3 linked regions of the Notamacropus eugenii genome follow. The protein of the gene in region 2 interacts with the protein of the main gene of each other region in a biochemical or structural test. Links are inferred from orthologs where the notes say so. Each region holds a gene or a part of one and is shown on either strand. Other genes may lie near its edges.

The links.
Region 1: of the proteins of LEF1 (region 2) and NLK, one has a biochemical effect on the other in vitro, tested with the Homo sapiens proteins (4 studies listed by BioGRID). The link is inferred for Notamacropus eugenii from reciprocal best matches to the Homo sapiens genes LEF1 and NLK.
Region 3: the proteins of LEF1 (region 2) and transducin-like enhancer protein 1 form a complex in vitro, tested with the Homo sapiens proteins (2 studies listed by BioGRID and IntAct, with this or other methods). The link is inferred for Notamacropus eugenii from reciprocal best matches to the Homo sapiens genes LEF1 and TLE1.

What each region holds. Positions count from the first base shown.
Region 1 is NC_092873.1:35,497,984-35,505,384, reverse strand, and holds the start of NLK (serine/threonine-protein kinase NLK), read right to left. Parts: upstream 3,053-7,401; 5' UTR 2,057-3,052; coding exon 1,596-2,056; intron 1-1,595. UniProt on the Homo sapiens protein: Serine/threonine-protein kinase that regulates a number of transcription factors with key roles in cell fate determination. Positive effector of the non-canonical Wnt signaling pathway, acting downstream of WNT5A, MAP3K7/TAK1 and HIPK2.
Region 2 is NC_092878.1:122,373,472-122,381,078, forward strand, and holds the start of LEF1 (lymphoid enhancer-binding factor 1), read left to right. Parts: upstream 1-4,454; 5' UTR 4,455-5,821; coding exon 5,822-6,040; intron 6,041-7,607. UniProt on the Homo sapiens protein: Transcription factor that binds DNA in a sequence-specific manner. Participates in the Wnt signaling pathway. Activates transcription of target genes in the presence of CTNNB1 and EP300.
Region 3 is NC_092872.1:72,093,060-72,101,506, reverse strand, and holds the start of transducin-like enhancer protein 1, read left to right. Parts: upstream 1-5,274; 5' UTR 5,275-5,600; coding exon 5,601-5,624; intron 5,625-6,720; coding exon 6,721-6,821; intron 6,822-8,289; coding exon 8,290-8,353; intron 8,354-8,447. UniProt on the Homo sapiens protein: Transcriptional corepressor that binds to a number of transcription factors. Inhibits NF-kappa-B-regulated gene expression. Inhibits the transcriptional activation mediated by FOXA2, and by CTNNB1 and TCF family members in Wnt signaling.

The sequences.
Region 1 (7,401 bases), on a different chromosome or scaffold from region 2:
TCTTTCTATCTTTGTTTTCTACCACAAGTAGCCCCAATGAAGGAAGTCCCAAAACGCTGTCACCCTTTCTATTTAACAGGCAAACTTCTGAGTGTTCCCAGCCTTTTGGCGAAGAGGCTACTCTGAGCCACTGCCAACGAGGGGCTGAGAATGAAGCAGCAGAGCAGAGCGGGACCCTCCTGTAGTACTGCCTTCTTTCCTAGCAGTCCCACAAAACCTGAGAGCTCCCCTCTTGGATTATTCACATGAAGCTTTAGTATGGACAGGCGAGTTTGATCTATGGTATAAGGACTCCTAGTTTTAAAGAGATGAATCAGATCCTGCTTGAAAGCATAAAGGAAAAAAAATCTGAACTAATAAGCCATGATTGCCAGAGACAATGCAGAAAAATACATTTATGTTAATTACAGGATCATCCTGAGAAATAATGAAAGAAGTCTTTGGAGAGGGGTTTGGATGGGATGCATGGGTGGAGGCAATCTATTCTACTGGTAGAGAAAACTAAATACTAACAGGAATCTTTTCGGTATGTATAAGAACACTGATGCTTGTAAAAGACAGCCTAACCTCTGAAATGTTTCCCCATCTACTCCATTATTGTTGTATAGAAATAGAGTTCTACATTGTTAAATACTGATACTTTTATCACAAGACTGTGTCTTAATCTTCCAGAGAAGACAAAACAAACCAAAATGTTGCTTCTTTCTATTCTTGTAATACATTCTAGGAGTACAGTAAGTAGAGGAATGTTTTTAAAAAAATGCTTTATCTCTATATGGGTTGAGAGAAACTTAACTGACCCCTGAATGACACTAAAACCTTACAATGAATGTGGACCACTGCTTATCTACATTCTACCAATGTTACTTGTAACATCCTGAGTGAAAAACTATACGTGATGCTTCATTACTAAAAGACCATTAATGCTCTAACAGGTTTCCTAAACAGGGCTGACTACAATAGCCTCATGGGTCTAAAACAAACCCGTCAAGAAAATATGCTTAAGTGTGCCTAACTTTTCTTCTTTTGAGGAATGCAGAGCTGTTAGAAATGATCTAGTTGGTGACAGCCAGGAACTTTACCAGCAAAAGCCCTTGATGGGTCATGAAATAAGGGGATAAAGATGAATGGGAGTGGGAAGTTATGATGTAAAAAAAAGCAGGCTAAGTAAGGATAAGATTCTAACATGAGACACATGCTTAGCTTGGGATGGTTGTGATACTTGAAAAACCTGGGCAAATGTTTGCAAATTCTGACCCTACCAGATGTGATCTTCCAAGGTCTTCAAGGAAAGACATATTCCATCCCTTCTTTATGTGCCACCCATTTGGCTGCTTACTCAAGCCTTGCACCATGCCCTTGAGCAAGACTGCCGTCCAAACTGTGACATGGATCCTAAGACCAAGCCTAGGCCTACCACCATGGCTGCACACTAAGCCTGCTCATAGCACATGAGGCAGTCTTTCCCTAAGCGTGGCCAGACTCAGTGTCCTTGGGCAGAGCACATGCCAAAGGCCACATGCACCCTCTGGCTGGTTGTGCCCAACCACAACAGCTGAAAAGAAAATTAGCTGTGCCTTTCTTTTCATACTCACCAGACAACACCAAAGGCCCCATATCCAATAGGTCTGTCCGGCTCAACGTCCAGCTGCTGTTGTGGATGGTGTGAGTGCTGATGATGGTGCGCTTTCACTGCAGCTGCTGCTGCAGCCTGTACCTGAGCTGGGGCCGTGGCAGCTGGGCCAGGGGCCTGACCTGGTGCCGGTGATGGGAAATATGGCTGTTGCTGCCCGGGGTTTAACATGGCAGCAGCGGCCGCGGCTGCTGCAGCCGCGGCCGCCGCCGAGGAGGTATGCTGCTGCACCGGGTGGACAGCAGCAGCTGATCCGGGATGGAGATGGTGCTGAGGGTGGTGGTGGTGGTGAAGGTGTGGAGGAGGCAGGTGTGGAAGGTGGTGGTGATGGTGGTGGTGGTGACCTGCTGCTGCCGCGGCAGATGTACCACCATTGTAAGCCGCCATCATCTTTGCGTTGGCTGCCGTGCCACAAAGAGACATTAAAAAATGCCCTTTGATTTGAAAACAAATTGGGTCAAGCTGTCATTTGGCCATTTAAAAATGAAGAACACCACTCCACCTTGAAAAACATAGAGCTTAACAGGCTTTATGTCTTCATCAATCAATCCAAACAATTTAGAGGATCTTGGTGTTTTCTTTTCCTTTGTGGGTGTGTGTTGCAAAAAAAGAGAAATCAAAACAAAACCAAAACAAAAAGAAAAAGAGACCCCTTCCCCCCAGGATTCCTGCCACAACTGAGTACTAAAACTTCATTATTAACATTTTTGGGGGGAGCCCACTAACTTTGAATGTAAGTATAGAAGCCAAATCTCCTGCTCCCCCAGAACCACTCACACAGAAAGACCCAGGGAACACACCACCCTTGGAAACCTCTAAGTAAGGCGGCTTCACCTACCCCTTCCATTCCCACATCCTTTTCTGAACACCTTTCCAACTCCTCAAAAATAAAATCCTCACTCCACCTTCTCTCCCCGCCCCACCACCACAAAACAATTGGTTTTTAAGATGGGGGGGGAAATCAGAGAACGAAGCCCCCCCCCCCCTGGACCCCTCGGGCCTTCCTCCTACATCTCCCCTTCCTCTTCAGTTAGGTGGACTGGGAGGGGAAGGGAGGGGAGGATGGGGATGGGGGCGGGGGGGGGGGGTGGCTAAACTTTCCCCGGGCAGGATGAGCCAGGGAATGTGGGAAGGTGGCAGGGAAGGGAGGGAGGGAGTGAGGGGGAGAGGAGCAGGAGACAGGGAAGGAGACGAGGAGAGAAAGAGAAGGGGGAAAGTGAGGAGGAGGATGGGGGGGAGGGGATGGAAGGGGGGCGGGAGGGAGGTAAGATGGGCAGCGCTCGCTGCTCGTTCGATCCCCAGCCCAGGCACAGGGAACCGCCCCGGGGGCTGAGGCTCCGGCTGAGCCAGGCGCCGGGGCCGGGGCCCGGGCCCAGCGATGGAGCCGCGGGAGGCGGGTGGGGTGCGCTCGAGCTCGGCTCGCCTCCTGCCCCCGCCGCCGAGCAGGGCTGGGGGGAGAGCGGGTGGGTCCCCCGCGCGACGGCCCCGCCGGGCTCACGACTGCTCCGTCTCCCCCCTGCCCCCACCCGGCTCCCCGCCGCCGCCGCCCCCGCCTTCTCTGTGTCTCTTCAGCAGCAGCAGCCGCCGCCGCCGCCGCCGCCTCCTTCCTTCAGCCGTCGCCGCCGCCGCCGCCGCCGCCGGACTCACCTCCCTGCACAGCCGGATAGAGCGGAGCCAGCGGCGGACACGCGCAACCAGCCGCCAAGGCCCCGCCCCAGCCTCGCACTGACCGGCCGCCTCGGCCAATCCGAACCCGCCTCCCTGTGCCCGCCTCCAATCGCGGGTGCGGAGCCCCAGACGGGCGGGTAGCTCGACCAGTGGAGGTAAGGTGGGGATGCTCCTGGGGAAATCCCGCCTTCGAGCCTCGATAGGCAGGCTTACGGTCCAATCGAGAGGTAGAGTTCGTTCTGAAGGACGGGCCCGAAAGCGAATCGGAAACCAAAGATCCCCGGTGACATTCTCTTTAGCCCCGCTTTTTTTCGGCCTTTTTCTTTTCTTCTTCTTTTTTTGGGGGGCAGGAGCAGGAAGCTGCGTGCTAAGCTCGGCTATAAGATCTGAAACAGAGGGGTGGAATGAAAGGACCAATGATAGGTTGAAGACAAAGAATAGAACCACCAATCCTGACCAGGGAAAGGAGCAAAGGCGGAACGCCACGAAGATGGACACCTGGAATTGACAAATGGAAGTGAGAACTGCTGTCGGTGCCGCCCCCCAGATCCCATATAGGGTAGGGCTATGGAGACCTCGCTGTCATTTGTGCGAAGATCTCTTCAAGGGGCGGGGCCTAAAAGATGGGCGGGGCATGTGAGAAGGGGTGGAGCCTACATTCAGTGGGAGGAGTCCAAGCCAAGGATCAGCCACACTAATGCTTATCTAAACTTGATTTGTGAGAGACAAGCTTCACCTTCTCTTTGATAAACAACCCTGACCTTAGACCGCTTTTCAAGAGGAGGAGAAAGGGAAGGAAAATTGAGGTCACCTAGTAATTCAGTCACTGAGCCAGCCCTGGCATCTGGACACACTGCCCACGTGCTGCCCCATCTCTGGCATTCTCCAAAGCTTGGCTTCCTATGGAAGAGAATGGAGTTTATGAATTTATGAAGGCTCACCACTGCAATTAAGACTGATGCATCCTTTTTTTCTTTTAATTCCAAGCTTGGTGGAAGGATAGAAAGATTAATTGTCCATATGTTCCTCCAATAAAATATAAGTTCTTTGAGGGCAGAAGCAGCTTAAGTTTTTTTTTTTAATCCCTGCATTCTCGGCATCTAGCATAATGTTTGGTGCTTAATAAGAACGTAATGACTTGAAATGAACTGAATTGAAGGGCCCTAAGATATGCACACAGACCACAAAACGAAGGCTGTTTCCCTGAGAGAAGCAAACCAGCAAGTGTGTGGAGTTTGTTCTGGATGGGGGTTTCTGTCCTCCCATCTTTCATCCAAGAGGGGTACAAACATTGGGGTCGATCCATTAGTCCCTCCCATACCTTCCCAAAAGCATCAGCTGAGAGGCCTTTCTCCTCAGGATTTTTTTAGGCACTGGGGATGATAAACTGGAAGTGGGATGTGAGTCAGCAAGATAGCAGTTGCTGTTTTAAAAAAGCAAACAGGACACTGGAATGCATGAACGGGAATATAATGTACAGGAAGTGTGGGAGGTGATCTTGTTCTTATGCTGAGCATGGGCTGGGTCCTGTTCAAGTTGAAGGCAAGATGGGTAGGACTGGAAAAAGTCCAGTGTGGGACAATTGCAGTGATGAAAGAATTGGGAAAGGGCTCTAAGGAAAAACCGAAGGAATTGAGGTTTCTTAGATCAGAGAATTATATAGGCTTTACATTTACAACAGCTTTTTACACACTCAGCATCATCACATTTGATCTTCACTGCAACAATCCTGTAACATGGAGATTACCACCCATTTTACAGATACAGAAGTTGAGGCTTGGAGGAGTGAAATGATTTGCCTATGGTCACATAGGTTGTAAGTGTTTGAGGCAGGATTACTCCCTATGTGCTTTTTACCATTATACCACACTGCTTTTTCAAAAGGAAAAGATGAACCAGAGGGAAGTTAAATACCAAGATGTCCTTTGATTGAGGAAGGAGGGCCAAGGCTTTCTATAATTACTTTATCTATTTCCAGCATTATCTCTTACTAGTCCCACAAATATACACCCCATTCCAGCCCGGAAGGTCTCTTCATTGTCCCCCAAATACTGTCTTTACTGCTGGGTCTTTGCTGGAGTCTTACCTTGAATGCCATTGTCCATCTCTATAAAGGTAAAGGGAATAGATTGTCCTGCTACAATCACAGGGGCATCTCTCTCTTAGTCATTGCTGGCAAGATTCTTGCTACAGTCCTCCTTAATAGGCTAATCCTTCAAATGGAAAATGGTCATCCACCTGAGAGCCAGTGTGACTTCAGAAAGGGCCAAGGAACAATCAATATGGTGTTTGCTGCCCAACAACTCCAGAAGAAATGCCAGGAGAAGAAGAGGTCTATATACAATGTTTGTAGATCCGACCAAGGCCTTTGACACTGTTAGTCATGAGAGCTTATGGAAAATTATACCAAAATTTGGTTGACCAGAGAAGTTCATCAGTATTGTACATCAATTTCATGATGGCATGTTTGCCCAGGTTCTGGATAGTGACAATGGTCACGTGCTCACCGGTGGAGTGAAACAGGGCTGTGTGCTTGCTCCCATGCTTTTTAGCACGATGTTTTCAGCCATGTTGTCAAATGCTTTCAATGAGGATGAACACAGCATGAAAGTCAACTATTGTGCTGATGGTAAATTCTTCAATTTGAAAAGGCTGTAGCCAAGATCAAAGTGTTGGTGCAATTTCTATTTGCAGATGATTGTGCAGTCACTGCAGCCTCTGAAGCTGAGATGCAACAAAATATGGATCAGTTCTCTGCTGCCTTTACTAATTTTGGCCTAATAACACAGGTGCTCCATCAGCCACCACCACCCATCTATACATGGCTGGAGAAGTTTTGAATGCTGTGGATAAGTTCACTTATCTTGGTAGTGTACTTTGCAGGGATGTACACATTGACAATGAGGCTGACACACACATTGCCAGAGCTAGCTCAGTGTTTTGGAGGCTCCGAAGAAAAGTTTGGGAGAGAAGGGGTATTAGACTGACTACCAAACTAAAGGTCTATAGAGTCATTGTGCTGACCTCATTGTTGTATGTCTATGAAACATGGACAGTCTACCAGTGCCATGCCAGGAAACTGAATCACTTCCATTTGAACTGTCTTAGGAAGATTCTGAAGATCACCTGGCATGATAAGTCACTGAGGTCTTTGCTCAAACTAAACTGCCAAGCATTCAAACTATTCTTCAGAGAGCACAATTCTGATGGACTGGCCACGTTGTTCTAATGCAAAATGTACGCTTGCCAAAAAGACTATTTTATGGAGAACTCACATGGTGGTCAGAAGAAGTGATACAAAGACACTCTCAAGGTCTCTCTCAAGAACTTTGGATTTGATTGGGGGACATGGGAGACACTAGCACAGGACTGCTCAGCATGGTGTGCCCACATCAGAAAAAGTACTGTGCTCTATGAGCAAAGCAGAATTGAAACAGCACAAAGGAAATGTAGGATGCGCACATTTGGAGTAACCACCCCAAATGTTCACATGGACTATCTGTGTCCAACCTGTGGTAGAGCATTGTGAGCTCAGTCATACTCATTGAAACTTCACTTTATCATGGTGATGTCCTTTTGGTCCTCCTTGAGAATGAAGTGCCCGGGGCGACTCGAACAGCAAACCACCCACAATGCCCTGGTACCTTCTCTTCTCCTATAAAGGGCCAACCCAGAATGCAAGGTCCAGCTCAGATCCTTCATGGAGTCCTTGCTAACCATCCCATCCCACATTGAGAGCCCCTTTGAAGAGCCAAAGTCCTTTTTTTTCTGCCTCTTCTTTGATCACTTTTTTTTTGTTTACATCAGTAATATCATGGGAGAAGGCAAGGGGAGAGGCAAGAAAAGGGACTCTGGGTATGGAATACCCCACTACAACCAGTCTGCTTTTTCTGCAATTTATTCTTTAAGAGTCATCTGGAGGCATTAAACATTAGTGGAGCAGTGGATAAAGTGATGGGCCTCCAGTTCAGAAGACTCATTTCCCTGAGTTTATATCTGGCCTCAGACACTTAAGCAGCTGTGTGATCCTGGACAAGTCACTTAACTCTGTTTGCCTCAGTTTCCTCATCTGTAAAATCAAAAAGAAATGGCAAACCACT
Region 2 (7,607 bases):
TCTTATTTCACTGACATTATTGAGGTTTCATCTCCTGACCCGACAACCTGGAGATGATTTAAGAAAATCCTTCTTTCGTTTTCCAAATACCATCTACCGTTTCCCCGGGGACCGGTTTGAAACAAGGTTTGTGGGCAGGACAGGTAGAGTGTGTATCCACTGCCTTCTTATTCTAAGGCCCTCCATCCCTCAGCCCCTCTTTATTCTTGGCCAGTTATTGACAACGTTTTTTTTTCTTGGACTTGGACAGGGCTCGCGTGATGAGTTCGCCCGGTCCAGAATGACTGCAGGGATGCATTTTAATTCCGCTAGCTAGATCTTGCGCACCGAGAGGTGTGATAACGCTTCACGTCCGCATCTCAAGACTGTTGGATGGGAAAATCCTTGAGGACCTGCCTGCAGGGCTAACACTGGTTTCTTAAGGATTGGTGAGTGGGGCGCATTCCGCGCTCACACGCACACAAGTCTTTGGAATGGCGATAGGGAGGGGAGAAGGTTCTAAGTCTCGATCTCGTTACACAGAAGATTGCTTTCCCAGATAATAAGAAGGATCCAGAGATTGCGTGGAACAGTTCAATCCAATCTGCAGCAACATTTACATGGTCGAATGATGTAGTTTGCTGTCATTCTAGTTCAGACATATTGAATTTTCACTCGTAGCTCCCAGAAGTTTTTAAGCTCCCCGCTTGGGCCATGTTTGTATATCTTGAGGGCTGGGGGAGGCAACCTTCTAAACAAAAATGGCCCTTCTCTTCATCTTCCTTCTTTCTCAAATCCCACCTCCCTCATAAACTGAGGGTGCCGACAGCTTTGTGCTGTTTTCAGCCAAATCTGGCGTCTGAGTCAAGGTTTTCTGAGTCTCTCTCTTCCTGAGGTAAATTATTTCGTTTCCCTTTTGCCCTTCCATGTCCCCTCCTTAGGCCACCATCATCTTCCTTTCTGCTCCCACCAAAATCGTAGCTGGGAAAAATTCCAGCCCACATAAACCAAAAAGGGGAAGGGGGATTGACTGAGGTCCGTGGAGGTGGAGAGCTGAATAAAAGCAAACACCGCTTTTCTCCCTTTAATTAAAGTTTATTTTGTGCACACGTATTTAGCAGCGAAGTCACTGTTTTAATTTTAAAATGATCTTCCTTCCGCCATCCCCAACTCCCCGTGATTGAAGGGTACCTCAGTAGCAGGTTAGAAACGTGTGCAAGCCTCGACTTCGACTTTGATTGAGAGCTTAGGTAATCTCATCCTCACCAAAAAAGCCAGCCCCTGCATGAGCAGGAGGAAGTATTGTTGGCTCACCCCCATACTAAACCCAAACAAGCTAAAGGAATCAGAGGGAAATACCGCCTCCGCCACCATCCAACCCTTTGCAATTGTTTCATGGTCGAAATTCAAATGCATCCAAACGCCCTCTTAAACCCACATCCTGGAGGGGAGAACCTGCAGCATCCAACTTCACCATCCGCTCTAGTCAACCGAAATAAACCCACCCAGTGCTAGATACTGGCGTCCCAATACCAACTCCTGATTTGTGATCCAAATCTCAGTGATTACATGGGACGCCTGCACGCTAATTGCAGTCCTACAGACTAATCGCTAACGCAATTAGTATAGCCCTGTGACAGAAACTTCTCCGCTAGAGCCTTGCAAACAAACCATTAGGGAGAACGGAAATCATCTTCCGGGCTTTGCCTCGCCCCTCCTCTCCCTCCCTCCCTCTGCCCTGGGAAAGACAGAATGCACATTGAAATATCACCTTGGTGCCCACCTAGGTTTTTAGGCCGTCTCTCCTGGGGTCGCGTCAAATTGTAATAGCGACAGAAGACTTACAGTAACCCCAACATCTTGCCGTTTGCAGAGTAAAAATAACAAAACATTTCGTATCCCCAAGGTGCTTGATTATTTTCGTTAGAAATAATGTTTCCAAGGACTACTATGATAAAGCACCAAATGGAGCCTCCTTTCCCTTGACTCTTTAAATTGGTCCTCATTACGTGATTTCCCCTCTAATGACTTCTTCAAACTCCCATCTTCTCTCAGTCCTCTCCTGACCATTTTAACCAAATGAGTAGAGTCCAAACAATTAACAGGAAGGAGAAAATGGGATTCGAATTAGGTTTATCACTTAAAATAGTAAGGGTGATCATTTGACTTCCTTAGCTTCCAGAACACCTCCGCCCCCAATACACATACGCAGGTATACATCTTAATTTGGCAACTTAATTCCACTTGCACCTTCTCTCCTTAGCCTGTTTTTTTTTTTCATAAAGGAACATTTGCCTGCTTTGATGGGGCTGAATTGGCTATTTTCTTTTTCTTCTGATCATTATTAACATAATTAGTTTGTTCACGTTTCCTTTAAACTATCAGATGATATAAACGTTCATAATAGTATCTAAGGTGCAGAGATCAAACATGCTAATATTAAAGGAAACATAATACCTCCACACTCTCTTCCCAAAATAAAGAAAAGAAAGAAAATGGGTTTCTCTCCAACTCTTTAGCATTAGTTTACTGATATACTGTAGCAAGATTTTGTTTTTGTTTTTCCTCTAAGGCATAAAATTGTCAGCTGTTCAAAGCGGATTGAATTTCCTTCACTTCCTTCTCCCCTCTCTGCCACCCCTTTTATCCTTATCCCAGACTCCCCATATATTACTAATAATATTTCTGCTAAGCATGAATTATTCATGAAAAAGTAAACCCTTTCAAATGTTTTCATTCCTTAAAAGTTGTTTGGTAAAATTCTATGCCAAAAGAAGCAGTTACCAATGGGTGAAGTTTTCGATAATATACAGTGCTGTCACGATCCCTGACAGATGACTATCAACTGAACAATTAATAGTTTTGGTGTTATTTGTGACCCTGGGGAAAGATGAGGAATCTTTACATGTATATATATATATATATGTACATATATATACATATTATATATATATATGTATATATATATAATATAACATAACCAAATCTAGTTTTCAACTCAAGGAAGACACTGACTTGGGGTCTTACTAGATGTCTACTAGCTGTAATAACTCAACCGAGATGTTCCTCTGGCATAGTTAAGGCTGGCAAAAGTAGCAAAATGTAAGAATTTTCTGAAATGAATCGTGCTTTCTAACCTTAATGTCCCCTAAGTGTAACAAAAGATAATCATGAAAATAGTCCCGAAAGCATAGTTCTGGTACACAGTGCCAGGGAGATGGTGGGAGATTAGGGGACATTTGAGGTTTTATTCTGATTTTTCGCCCTTTCTTGAAAGAATGCCGTAGCTCTGATTCCTGCCCTCTCCTCACCTTACTCTGTTCATCTACTGATTTTGCATTCTGACATACATTACTTACTGTCAGCTCATGGGTGCCTTCCTTCGTTCTCCTTCCCCTCTTCCCTTGCTCTACGCCTTCCATGCTCACACTCTTTCCTGCACTACTGTGTGTATCAGGGCATCCAAAGGACATCTGCCTAAAATGCCTGTGGAATAAAAGTGATGAAAGAGTGATCATTTTAATTATAATTAAGACGTTCAACTTCCCCTTATTAGTCTTTGTGTTTCCTCTCTCCCCCTTTTCCCCCACTTGATCTCCCAAAGCCCGGAAGTTTGTGCTCACTGGTACCCAAATTATATGTGTTTTTACAGTCCTACATACTAATTGTACATGTATATATGTATGTGCGTATATCCCAATGTGAATATAGGTATGATGTATATATACCCCCCTACAAATACATGTGTGTATGTGTATGCAATACATGTATACCTGTGGCTCTTTTCCTTCTCCGTTTCTTTTCTCCCTTATTAGTTAAGCAGTGATTTCTGTGCGGTTTCATTCCCCCATTTTCTCCTTTCTGCTTATCCCCCTCCCCCCAATTCCCTTCTTTCAGAGCTTCTATCAATGTGGTGTCAATCAGAGCGGCGGCTTCGCTTTCATCTTCCCTCTCCCCCTTTTCTGAGAGAGAGAGAGAGAGAGAGAGAGAGAGAGAGAGAGAGAGAGAGAGAGAGAGAGAGAGAGAGAGAGAAAGCAGGAAAGGTGGGGGGCATCTGGAAGAGTAAGAAGAGTGGGGGACGAGGAAGGAAGGTTAGATGTTAAAGTTAAACCCTAAAGGCAAGACCCCCAATTTTCAACTTCACATAAGCGTATCAATTCTTTGAGGGGCAGAAGGGGCAGCCCCGAGATCCTTCCCTCCCTGTCGAAGTTGCCTAATTTTTCTCCCCCGGAGACACACACAAACACACCCCACACGCGGAGGACCAGTCCTACAGGCTCTGTGAAAAGAAAAAAAAATCACCCTCAATCACCACCTCCTCTGCCCCCACCCCCCCACCCCTCTTAAGCCGCCAGCCTAGGAAAGAAAGAGGCGGAGGAGTTGAGGGGGGAGGGGGTATCCAGAAGGGAGGAGGAGAAGATCCGACGCTTGTGGATAGCTTTTCAGCGCCGGAGAGGCGAGGGAGGTGGAGAATCGGCCGGGAGGCGCAGCCGCTCACCTGCAGAGAAGAGCGAAGAGGAGGAACCCTCAAAGCCCCGACCGCCCCTCAACCTCCCCCTGATCTCCGGGCTCTGTGGACTCCTCCAGAGGCGCCGGGACGAGGCTCTCCAGTCCTTGCTCTCAGCAGGAGTCAGTTTCCCCTCCCCCTTCCCCCCAACTCCCCCTTCCCCTCCGCGCGCCCCCTTGGCTCCAGTAGTAGCGGAGGGACTTAGCTACTAACTTGCTCTGACAGAGACTGCGGACACAGCTGAAGGGTGGCGAGCAAAAGCGATCCAGGGTGCGAGAAAATTAAGGCTGGAGAGAAACTTGAAACAAAGAAGAGTTTGCCTTATATCTGAGACTAGGATTTTTTTTTCTTTTCTGTATTTGTGTGTGTTTGTGTGTGAGTGTGTGTATGAGACAGAGACCAGTGTTTTTATTCCTTGCGCCCCTCGGCTCTCCACACCTCCGGTGGCACAAACTTTATTCTTGGCAAACTTTTCCCTCCCTCCCTTCATTTCTCCTTCCCTGTCTTTCCTCCTCTGCCCCTGAGTTCTGTCCTCTGCTTTCATCCCCTCCTACAGATTAAATGGGCTTTGAAATGCAAAGGCGAAGAGAAAGGGAAAGAAACCATAAGCTGTAAGGACACGCGTCTTCAGGTTGCTGATTATTTGCTACAGAGATAGATGCCCATATACATCTATCGCTGCTCCAGGAAGTGGAAATTACATTATCTCCTGACTGTCCTTGCAGCTTCTCATCGTGGGAAAACGCGAACCCGGAGCCTTTTGGGCAAGCTCCGTCACTCCCTTTTGAAAACAAAACGACTCTAATATCCACTTTGTCCAGAAGATCCAGAAGATTGCGCGGAGGCCTGCCTGCCTCGCCTCCGCACTTCTGGCTAGCCCCCACCCCCTCACCACTCACACCAACTTCCACTGGCAGACACAACAGAAGGCAGGGACTTTGGTGGAGAAGCAGGAGCGAGCGCCTCGCTTACCAGAGGCACGGGAGTGATCGGGGAAGAGAGCCGACTTCGACAGCTTGGCTGAACCTCCCACTCCTCGCGGTTCCTGCTATTCTCCCTTCGGGTCTGGAGCTTGGCTCACTCCTCTGGAGGGGTAGGCACGACTAAGAGGCCATCACCAAGGCGTCCCTACCAGCGGCTGCAAAGGAGGCTTGTTGGCCGAGTGCCCCTGAGCAAGGAACGTCCCCATTCCATTCTTTTCTTGCACGCCAGTTTCAACTCTCTCAATCTCTGCCTCCTCTCCCCCCCCCCCCCCCTCCCTTTTTGTGTGCTTTTGTTGTGTCGTCGCTGCCGCGGTCGCTCCCCCGGAGGAGAGGGGATTAAAGAGCAGCCAGAATGCCCCAGCTCTCGGGGGGAGGTGGTGGCGGCGGCGGCGGGGGGGACCCGGAGCTGTGCGCCACCGACGAGATGATCCCCTTCAAAGACGAAGGCGATCCGCAGAAAGAAAAAATCTTCGCAGAGATTAGTCACCCTGAAGAGGAAGGGGACTTGGCCGACATCAAATCCTCCTTGGTCAATGAATCCGAGATCATCCCAGCCAGCAACGGGCATGAGGTGAGCTCCCCACTCCCGCAGCCTGAAAAAACATGGGACGCACCCTAGGGAGGAAGGAAAGAAATGGGTGACTGGCTGTGTTTGTGGGTCTTTATGTAAGTGTGTGTGTGGGGGGGGGGGGTGGCACAGAGAGTTGTGGTGCTAAATGTATAACTTCTTATTTTGGCGAGGGGTGGCGGGGTGCTAGACCATTAAGGAAATGCTCCTGTTTTGTGTGCACAGGTGTGTGTGTTGTGTGGTTGTGTGTGTGTGTGCTGCCAAACTTCTGAAGTTAGTGGTTTTCTGGGGCTCGTTGATATGGCCATCGGGAATACACGGTCTCGTGCGTGTTTCCCAGGATTTCTTAGGACTCATAACCTGGAAGGAGAGTTCAGCCCTGGATATCTTCTCTGGGCCTCAGTTTCCCTTTCTACAATACAAAGGAGGTGAACTAGATGGCCTGAGGACTCTTCTAGCTTTAAATCTTTCTTCGCGTTCTTTTTTTTTCTTAGTGTAGGCGAGAGATGAGAAAGAGGATGGGGCAAAGGAAGGAGGGGGAAGAAAAGGGAGGGGGGGCATACTAACAGTCAAAAGTTTTCCTTTAATGCGTACAGTTGTCTACCCTAGTGTGTCAAACCACCAAAAAGCATTTGGAGATGGGGTGGGGGCGGAGAGGAAGGGCGGTGGGCTGCGGGCGTGGGGCAGGGGCTGACTCTGGGGCTGCCAGCTGCGGAACCGGTGGAGCAAGCAAGCGAGGGAGGGAGGCCCGAGGGGAGCAGAGCGCACGAGTGGGAGGCTACTGTGGAGGTTAGGGATGGGAAGGGGCCCGCAGCCCAAAAACAGCTGCCCACATCCCACTCAGAGGCAACAGCCACGGTAGCTGAAGCCCGTCACTTGTGGCCCCGAGGAATCTGAGACCCAGACGTGTTGCCTACAAGGTCGTTGCCTCTTTATTCACAGCACGTTGGTTTTCTTCCACCTCCCTTCATCACCTCCCTACCCCTCCATCTCCCACCCCCCAGGTTGTGTCTATTGCTGTTCGGGCGCTGAAACTAAGATACAGAAACTCCGGCGTAAATCGAGATAAAGCCAGGCCCGTGGCACCAAAGGAAAGGGGGGTGGGGGGGTGGGGGGAGAGATCGACGATTCTTTATCGGATCTACTTGTTCTCCTTTGGCCTCGCGCTCCTTGAGATAGCGCCAGTAACCCGAGTAAAGTAAATAGAGACACGTGGGTGCCTGAGAGAAAAAGGGAAGACAACTGAAGGGGGCGGGGGGGGGGGGAGGGGAGAGACGGGGGGGAAACTCTGTCCCTTGTATGAAAACCTATCAGATGTGTGTGGACGTCCAATAACTGTCAATAACTGTCCAGCTCTGTGCTGGGATTGGGAAAGCCATCTGAATTGAACCCCCAAACTATAACACCAAGGCTGCTCCCCTAAAGACATCTAAGTTAGTGTCCCCATTCTTCACCAAGGCTGAGTGTATAGAAAGACTCTAGGGAGATAGTACCATAATAAAAATAAATATATCCCACATTCTCCTCCTATTATGAGCAAGGCTAAGTGTTGAGTTTTCCTTTAGGGTTC
Region 3 (8,447 bases), on a different chromosome or scaffold from region 2:
TTCTTTGGATCTGATTTTATTTGAGGTTTTACTGCTGCATGGATCTGCTACTGATTTTTTTCAACTTTTCAGTCTTTTTTTCCCCTCTTTTTCTGTCTCTTTTAGTAAAGGAGCATGGTGAGCAAAAGGTTATAAAGTAGTGCTGAGAAAAGTCCTTCTGGAGCCCCTCTGACAGGGTTAGGCTCAAAGAAAAATTCCTAGCTAAAAAAAATTAAATGATGAATAATGAAAGCGGTAACTATTAACTAGAAAGTAGAGAGGACAATGAAAATGGCTTTTTTAAAAAGCCTGACCCCATTATTATTTGTTTCATAAAAAAAGAGGTAATCGTTTTAAGAAGATACATAATTTTTTTGGATTCTATGATTAGCTACCTCAATTAACTTTTTTTTCTCATTGCTCTGCAATGCAGAACAGTGGAATAAATCACAGGAAAAGATTTTCTCCTATTAAGGAAACAATACTATCTAGTATCTGTAACATCTAGTATTCATTTGGACATGTAGTGGAAATACTTGTGTTATTAGTAGGTTGAAGATTTGATAATCAACATGTCAATGGAAAAAAATGTACATGCGCATCTATGGTAAAATGAACAGTACCACAATCCTTTGTTTCCTTTTCTGGAAAAAAAAAAAAGGTACTCTTCGTCAGAAGCTCAGTATTACATGGAAACTGCATTTAATATTTTTATCCATATATTCATACATGAATGTGAAGGTTAAAAAAATTATGTTTAACAGACTTCAAATAGAAGAGTAGAAATTATGAATTTGATAAGTAGGCACTTTCTATTTTTCTTTTAAATAATACTGTAGGCAATCTGCACATATATTATTTATTTAAAACATAAGATTAAAGCTGCTTGATTGTTTAAACACCATCATTTGTAATGCAGTTTGATGAGAGTTTTGCAGTATAATTATTACAGTCTGACAATCAAGGAGAAAATATGACCTTGAAAAGGGGCAGAGCCTTCTATATCTTGCAGGGATGCTGTTCTGAGAAAAAGAAGAAACTGGTGAAAAGTAGCCATCATTAGGGCACATAATTAGAGACTTTCAATTGTAAAAGATAATTTTCCAGAGATAACACAGGAAAAATCTGTAAGTCCTGGTGTCTCAATTGCCATAGGTCAGGAAGACCTTTGTCATTAAAGAAACTTAGAGTTTTCTCCAATATACACAGGAAAACCTAGTGATTAAAAACATTTTAAGTTCATAAAAAATTACAGAACATTATTATGGGGTGGGGTGGAGTAGGGAGAATGGAGGGAAGAGGAGGAATAGAGGGGAAGCAACACTGTTTTTGTTCCTGTTCCAAAATACACTGTTTTAATTTGTCTGTTTATATCTAATTACCAGCTTGTGCCAGCAGGTTAAAATTCACACCAGCCAAAGCTGGGTAAGCAGGTGTGTTGCTGTCTCCCTCACTAGGTATCCTCGTATATGCATGCATATCTATGATATGTTCACATGTTCTGCATAAAAGTGAACAAAATCCTATGAATGCAGAAGAAAAATTGTTCTAGGTAAACATAATGGGATATCATTTGAATATTGTCCATCAAACCAAAGTGGATCTTTGATACAATCACCAGATGTTGCCCTCATGTAAACATCTACATGTCCATAATACACTTAGAGGTATATGTATATGCATATAGGTCTGTATACATATAGTTGCATTTGAAATGTATTTGTCAAGGAGGGGAGGAAGGCTGAATTTATGTGATGACATAATCTGACAAAAATAGGAAGCACTTCCAGCGACTTTATTTTCCATGTAAACAAGACAAATAGCAATGTTTGTGATTATTCATGAGTGAAAATTCCACTTATTTAGTAGACTGCAGAGATAAAATTCTGAATGTTTAAGAATTTACTATAGCCTTCAAATATACAGCCTAAAAATGTTTGTTTTTCATTTATAATTGAAGTTTGAGGCTTGATACAATCATGAAAAAATCAATCTTATAAATGTTTTAAAACTGCAACAGTGAAAGATGTTGCATAAAATGATCCTTTAAATATTTTAAGAAGAATGATCTTTGTAAATGCAAGAATCTTTAAATAAAGTGCATCTGTTTAAATAGCAAATGCTTAAAAAAGACTTGAGTCTTTAAGAGTTTTTAAAGAAGACAATTGGGATAAAGTAGTCATTAATACTAAAAGACTCATTAACTAAATTCCAACATAAGATTCATATTTGTCAAAGAAGTACATTTCCAATTGAAGAATATGTTACCATTTGACAAAGATAACATTCACACATGGGGCATGTGGAAAGACTATAATTTAAACAAAACTGAAAACTCTTTGCAAAATTAAAGCCTTTAAAGTTTGTATGCATACATTTGCGCTGACAGAACTGAAAACTACCAATGCATTCTATTTATACAAAGACCTTTGAGTTGATCTATGAATTCCAACTATGTCACTTACCCAACACTCCCCAATTCATCACCTGAAATATTTCAGTGCTCTTTTACCATAAAAACTATCTGGGGGAAAAACAGGTTTGCCAGTACACAGGGGATGTCAGTACACACTATTTCTTCCTCTCTTTTCAGCTTTTGGAAAGATTATGGTGGTAACTGGGGTGTAAGACTCTTAAGAGTCTGCGGTTGATTCACAACATAGGCTGGTTACAATTTGCAAAACAGGGTTTGAGTTCATCCTAAGCAAGTAGCAGGACTTTTCTGCCGACATGTGTGATTTGTGTCATTAGTGCTTTTTCTAGCCTTGTGTTAAATAAAACCACTGTGGTTTTTAAAAAGTGCTTTGAGATCCTAAAAAATAAAATGCTACGCAATTTCAACGTGGATGTTATACGTAAAAATGCCTAGGAATGCCTTCCACTCTGCCTTTTCAAGTGCATGTGCTACCCTTTCGTGTCCGTGAAAAGGTAACTGTTGCTAAAAACAAACCTGAAAGACATTTTGAAAGTGACCTGGCTTTCAAAGTAACAGTATCAAACGAGTGGTTTCCATGAGGGGGAAAAATGTGCTCTTCTTGAACTACCCTCCATTCCCAATCATAACGAATGGTTTGCCTCACTGGGGTACTACTGTCACAGATATCTGGAGGTTTTTTTAAGTGAAAAAAAGAAAACGATATTATTTTTAAAGCCACACACTCTTATCGACACCGCTCCTCGCCCCCTCTCCCTTTTCTCCCCAGAACGCGCCCGCGCGCTCACTCTCCCCCACGTTACTTTGATTGACAGGTCGGTACTGCCGCTCTCCTTCCCACCGACCTTCCCATCCTCCGTGCCAATCTCAGCGTTTCCCCGCTTCCTATTGGCTGGCCTGGGCGTCCCGCAGCTCCTCCAGGAACGCTTCCTCGCGGAGCCGGGGAGGACGAGGCTGGGCGGAGGGGGCGGGAGGAGAGACAGGGGAGACAGTGCTGATGGAAGAGAGGAGAGGAGGGAGAATGGTGAAGTGGGGGGAGGGGGGGAAAGGCCGAGGCTGGTACTGCGCTGCTATAGGACGTTGGGAGGCGTGTCGTCAGGATCCCACGTTGGGGCTTGGAACGGACGATTGGTTGGGCCGGGACTCCCCTCCTCCCCTTCTCCTCCCACCCTCATCCACACGGACTCCATCCTCGGCTCCTCGCCCCCCTTCCCCGCTCCCCGCCCGCGCCAGGGTGGGCGGGGCCGGCCGCTGGTTAGCTAGAGGAGTGTGAAACCGCGTGTTAATGTTACCAGCGCGAGAGGCGCAGGCGGCGGCGGCGGCGGCGGCGGCGGCTTGAGCAGGAGCCGGAGCTGGAGCAGCACCGCCGGATACATTGTGTCCCGCTTCTTGAGAGGCGGCTGCTTGCTACCCGCTCGGTGCCGCTGCTTTGGCGGGCAGTGGCAGCGGCGTCACCGGACCCTTGGCCGGCTGACCACACCGATTCACCTCGGCCCGGCCCCCTGGTCACTCTGTGACTCTCGATAGCCCTGTGGAGTTTGCCTGATTGCAAAAAAAAAGAAAAAAAAAAGGCAGAGAAGATCATCAGAGCGAGCGAGCTAGCGAACGGGCTTGCTCCGTGGAGTCTTCCCAATCGTACCTCGGTTTATGGATGTTTTCCCCGGGATTCCCGGGGAACTTTACTTGTGGCTGGAGCGTCGATTGTTAAAAGGGAAACACAAAAAGGGCGGGGGGTGCCAGGGGGGAAAAGGAAAAGAAAAAAACCCATAAAGGATTAGCAGCGGCAGAAGGCAGCAGGGCTGCGGGGCCGTGCGGGTGTCTATGAATGTGGAGATGCTGCGGCGGCGGCGGCGGTTGCTGCATGGGTGTGTGTGAGTCGCTCCCCGATGTGCTCCAGGCGCGAGGAGGCGGCGGCGGCGGCGGCAGCAGCTGGGAGGCTGCTGCACCCGGGAGGGCTGCACCCTTCTGAGTAACTGAGAATTGCCCCAGCTGGTTCGCCTTTTCTGCTACTAGGATTTCTGTGCAACGGCCAAGAAGACTGTTGCCTCTGTCTACTACTGCCACCCACCACCTCGTCCCCTTGCTTCGGCTTGTTTTAGTTGGGATTTTTTTTTCAGTCTCCACTCCAAGACTGCTTGAGTGCATATGCTGCGTGGCCACCCCCTCCTCTCTTGCGCTCTGTGTCTCTGCACTTTCCTTGCATCATTACCCTTCTCTCTGTGGTTGCTGGTGATCACTTGGCTCGGAGCCTCCACCCCGGGCTCTGTGTGTGCGTTGTGCGTGTGTGTGTGACCCCACCTCCTCCCGGGAGCGCCTTTGAGGCTAGCCGGCCCGAGTACGGATGGGTACGTTTATATGTGAGTGATCCTCGGCTCCCCTTTGCACCCACCGACCCCTGTCTGGGCGGCGTGGGGTGACAATTCCTTACAGATTCGCCTCCTGGCTGCCCTCCCTGGATATCGTCTTTAACTCAAGAAGTCACCCGGCTTGCTCAGGGGTTTCCGGTCCCCTGATTGTTAGTTTGTTTTTGTTGGGGGGTGGGGCGGCGTTCTTTTGCCACCTGCAAGTTGGCCCCCCACGGAGCAAGGACGGGTGGGGGGGAAAGACTGGATTGATTTGCCCTGGACCTGCGCAGCTCGCGCATCTGAGGGGAGTGGTTGGTGGTGGGGGAGTTAACCTTGGTCCCGGCTTTGGCCGTCGGGGAGGAAGACCTGTGCGTCCACCCTCTCTCTCCCACCTCAGCGCCGGAACTGGGGGATTCCATTGTCCACCTCGGGTCCGTTTCCTTCTTCCCGAAGCCTAGAAACTCTCCTCTTCCCTCCCCCACTCCCCGAGGCCGGGCGGGAGACGTTGGCCCCAGTGGGAGGTGGGGGCGGTGAGCAGGAAGAGAGGGAAATGTGGCCCTGAGCTCGGGGCCCGGCCTTGGGAGCCCAAGTGGCCCAACTCCGGCTCCGGTCCTGCCTGGCTGTTGTGCGTGCGTGTCCGTATGTGCGTGTAATGTCAGTGTCTGTGCGCGCGCGCTTGTGTGTGCATGTCTAACGCGCACCCCCCCACCCCCCACCCCACCTCCTCTCGCTTGGATCTTCTTTCTTCCTTCCTGTCTTAATATTTCTCGGCGGGATTAAAGTTGGAAATTGAGCGGAGAATTGAGCTGCCCAGGAGCAAGGCAGCGGCTGCCGTCAGAGCGATGTTCCCGCAAAGCCGGCACCCGGTAAGGAGCGGCGGGGCCCGGGGGCCCTGGGCGTGTGCTTGTGGAGGGTGCATGTTGGGGGGGGGGGGGAAGTAGCCGAAGGTTTGGAGGCTGGGGGAGGCGCTGTTCTGGGGTTGTGCCCTGCCTTTGCCCCACCTTCCCCCCGCGGGGTTCGAGGCTGCTTAGGTTGCCTTCTCGGAGTTGCTGGCCCTGTTTTCCGCTTTGGGTGCGGGGGTGGGGTAAGAGTGGTGGAAGATGCCGTATGGGTTTTGTTTTGTGGTGGGTTTTTTTCTTTGACAAATAGAGTGGAGGCAGAAATCCTCTGGCTTTTTTCCCTCTTGGCCACCTTCCCCTCCCTCCCCCCACTTTTAATTCCCTTTTTAGCACCTCTAAAGGCGGCAGGCACATAGGCTAGCGGGGCAGAGGGACGGGGACAGAGAAGCTTCTTACATTTCTTCTCCCCATCCCTTCTGTTCCCACCTAAGGGAGGAAGGTCTTTAGCTCTCTCTTCCCCCCCCCCAACCTCCAGTAGCTGCCCCCCCCTCAGGTCCCCCTTTGTTCACTATCTTATTTCCATGTCAATTGCAGCCCTGGATCTAGTGGGGCCAGGGCTGGCCCGAGTCCTCTTAGGGGACTCTGGGAACTGGGAGGATGGGGCTGGGGTGTCTGTTACTCCGCTAACCTCCCTAGGGCTATTATCTTTATTGCCTATAGGAGGGGCGGGCACCCATCTTTAACGCCACCTTCGCAGGCCCTTTAGGAGCAGGGTGCTACTTCGACCTGAATTACAGGGGCATCCCCCATCTGTGTCCCCAGGAGTGGGACGGGGAGGGGCAGGGGTAGATTTCCTACCTCGCTTCTACAGGCTCTGGGAGTTTCGGCAAACGGGGTGGGGGCAGGGAGCGAGCGTTGCCGTCTGCCTCCCCTAAAGTAAACTGAAAAAACAAATTAGTTTCTTTTTGTACCTGTGATAGCTGGTAACTTTTGTTTGGGTTTTGTCTCACCTCTCTCTCTCTCTCTCTCCCTCCATCCTCTCCCCTCTCTGCCCTACATTACCTCCCCCCCACTTTCTCTTATTCCTGCACATCTATGCACACCCATCCCACACCTCCTCCAGACGCCGCACCAGGCTGCAGGTCAGCCCTTTAAATTCACCATCCCGGAGTCCCTGGATCGGATCAAAGAGGAGTTTCAGTTCCTGCAGGCTCAGTATCACAGGTGCGTGCAGTGGGAGCATTCAGTCCTGAGCCGACCCTGGCTGGCCCTGCCCTGGGGTTTGGATGTCAGCGTGGAACGTCTTGGGCTTGGTGGGGGTTGGGGGCTCTGGTTTTCTGTTTCTCCCTGTCTTATCCCTGGGGTGGCAGCTGTATTTAGTACTTGTGTCCAGGCGGTGGCGTGTGGAATCACAGTTAAAACCTGTCATTCACTTTCCCCCTCTTTTTTTCCCCTTCCTTGGCTTTTCTCAGTCCTCCTCTTTTTTTTCCCCTCCTCCTATTGTTTTGGCGTCCTGTTTGCTGCTGTTCAAATGAACTTTTTTTGTGTGTTTTGGAGTTAACATGAGAACCGTCAATATTTGCCCTTCATGTATTTATTTTGCAACAGGCTGAGCTGAAAACACTGGCTCAATCAATGTCTTAGTCTTGGAATGCAGGGGACAAATGCAGTGTTGAAATAACTATTTGGTTATGTTGGGGGATAGAGTTGTACAAAGCAAAGTTCATGGTGGAAAGATTACTCCTTTTAAACCTTTAGAGTTGTTGGGCCATTTACATTGAGGTTGACTTTGGAGATCCCCAAAAATAAATAGAATTTCAAGTTCCCAATCTCAGAGCCCCATTGAACTGAGGCTTCTGCATATGAAGTTCATCATAGCACTTGAGTACAAGTGTAGACTTACTGTCCAAATCAGTGGGAATTTTAAACAGTGGAAGAAACACTGATATTGTGGCTTGCTCCTTAGCTTAAAAGCCAACTTCTAACCGAGGCATTAGCTTTTATTCTTTAGAGATAAATGCCATCACGGTTTAAGTTAGTTTCAGCAGAAAGCAGAGGCAACTTATAAATTACCATTTTAATAGGGAATGTGAGTGGATTCTTTATTGTTTTCAGGAATGTCCAATATTCTGTTTAAGGCATGTATTTTCTTATCACACACTTCCAAGGCTATACCTATGTCATTGGTTATCTGATGTGATGTTTTAGTGTGTTTTAAAGACTAGGGTAAAACTAGTTGACTGTTAGGGAATAGTAATTTTTCCATTACAATTTTAAAAACTTAGAGGGATGTTTGAATCCACTGAGTCAAAACACTCAATATATGTTGTTTGAAGTTCAAGTTTCTGTTCAGAGGGTTATCCCACACCACGAACCTAATAAAAATTTAACTAGCCATGAGTTAACAGATGATAAGACTACTGGTTAGTTTGAGGACCTGACTTATTTTTTTACCCCGTACCTGGGATTTTATATACCCTAAGAATGAATCATAATGGAATGAACTGCACATAGAATTCATTTTACTTGTATTCTCTATTAAATACAAGGACAAAGCTTTTGGGTGTTTACTTTGATAGTTTATAGTTTTTCTAAATTGGTCTGTGTTTTTACTTGAAGTGCAAATATGTGAGGCAGATGTTAAAACAAGTGACATAATGTTTACATGAAGTTGCCTGTTTTGTTTTTGTAGCCTTAAATTGGAATGTGAGAAATTGGCGAGTGAAAAGACAGAAATGCAGAGGCATTATGTGATGGTAGGTATCAAAGATTTATTTTATTCCTTTTCACATACCATAACAAATATATTTTTTTAGTAGTACTAAATATGAGTTAATGAAACTTTTCTTT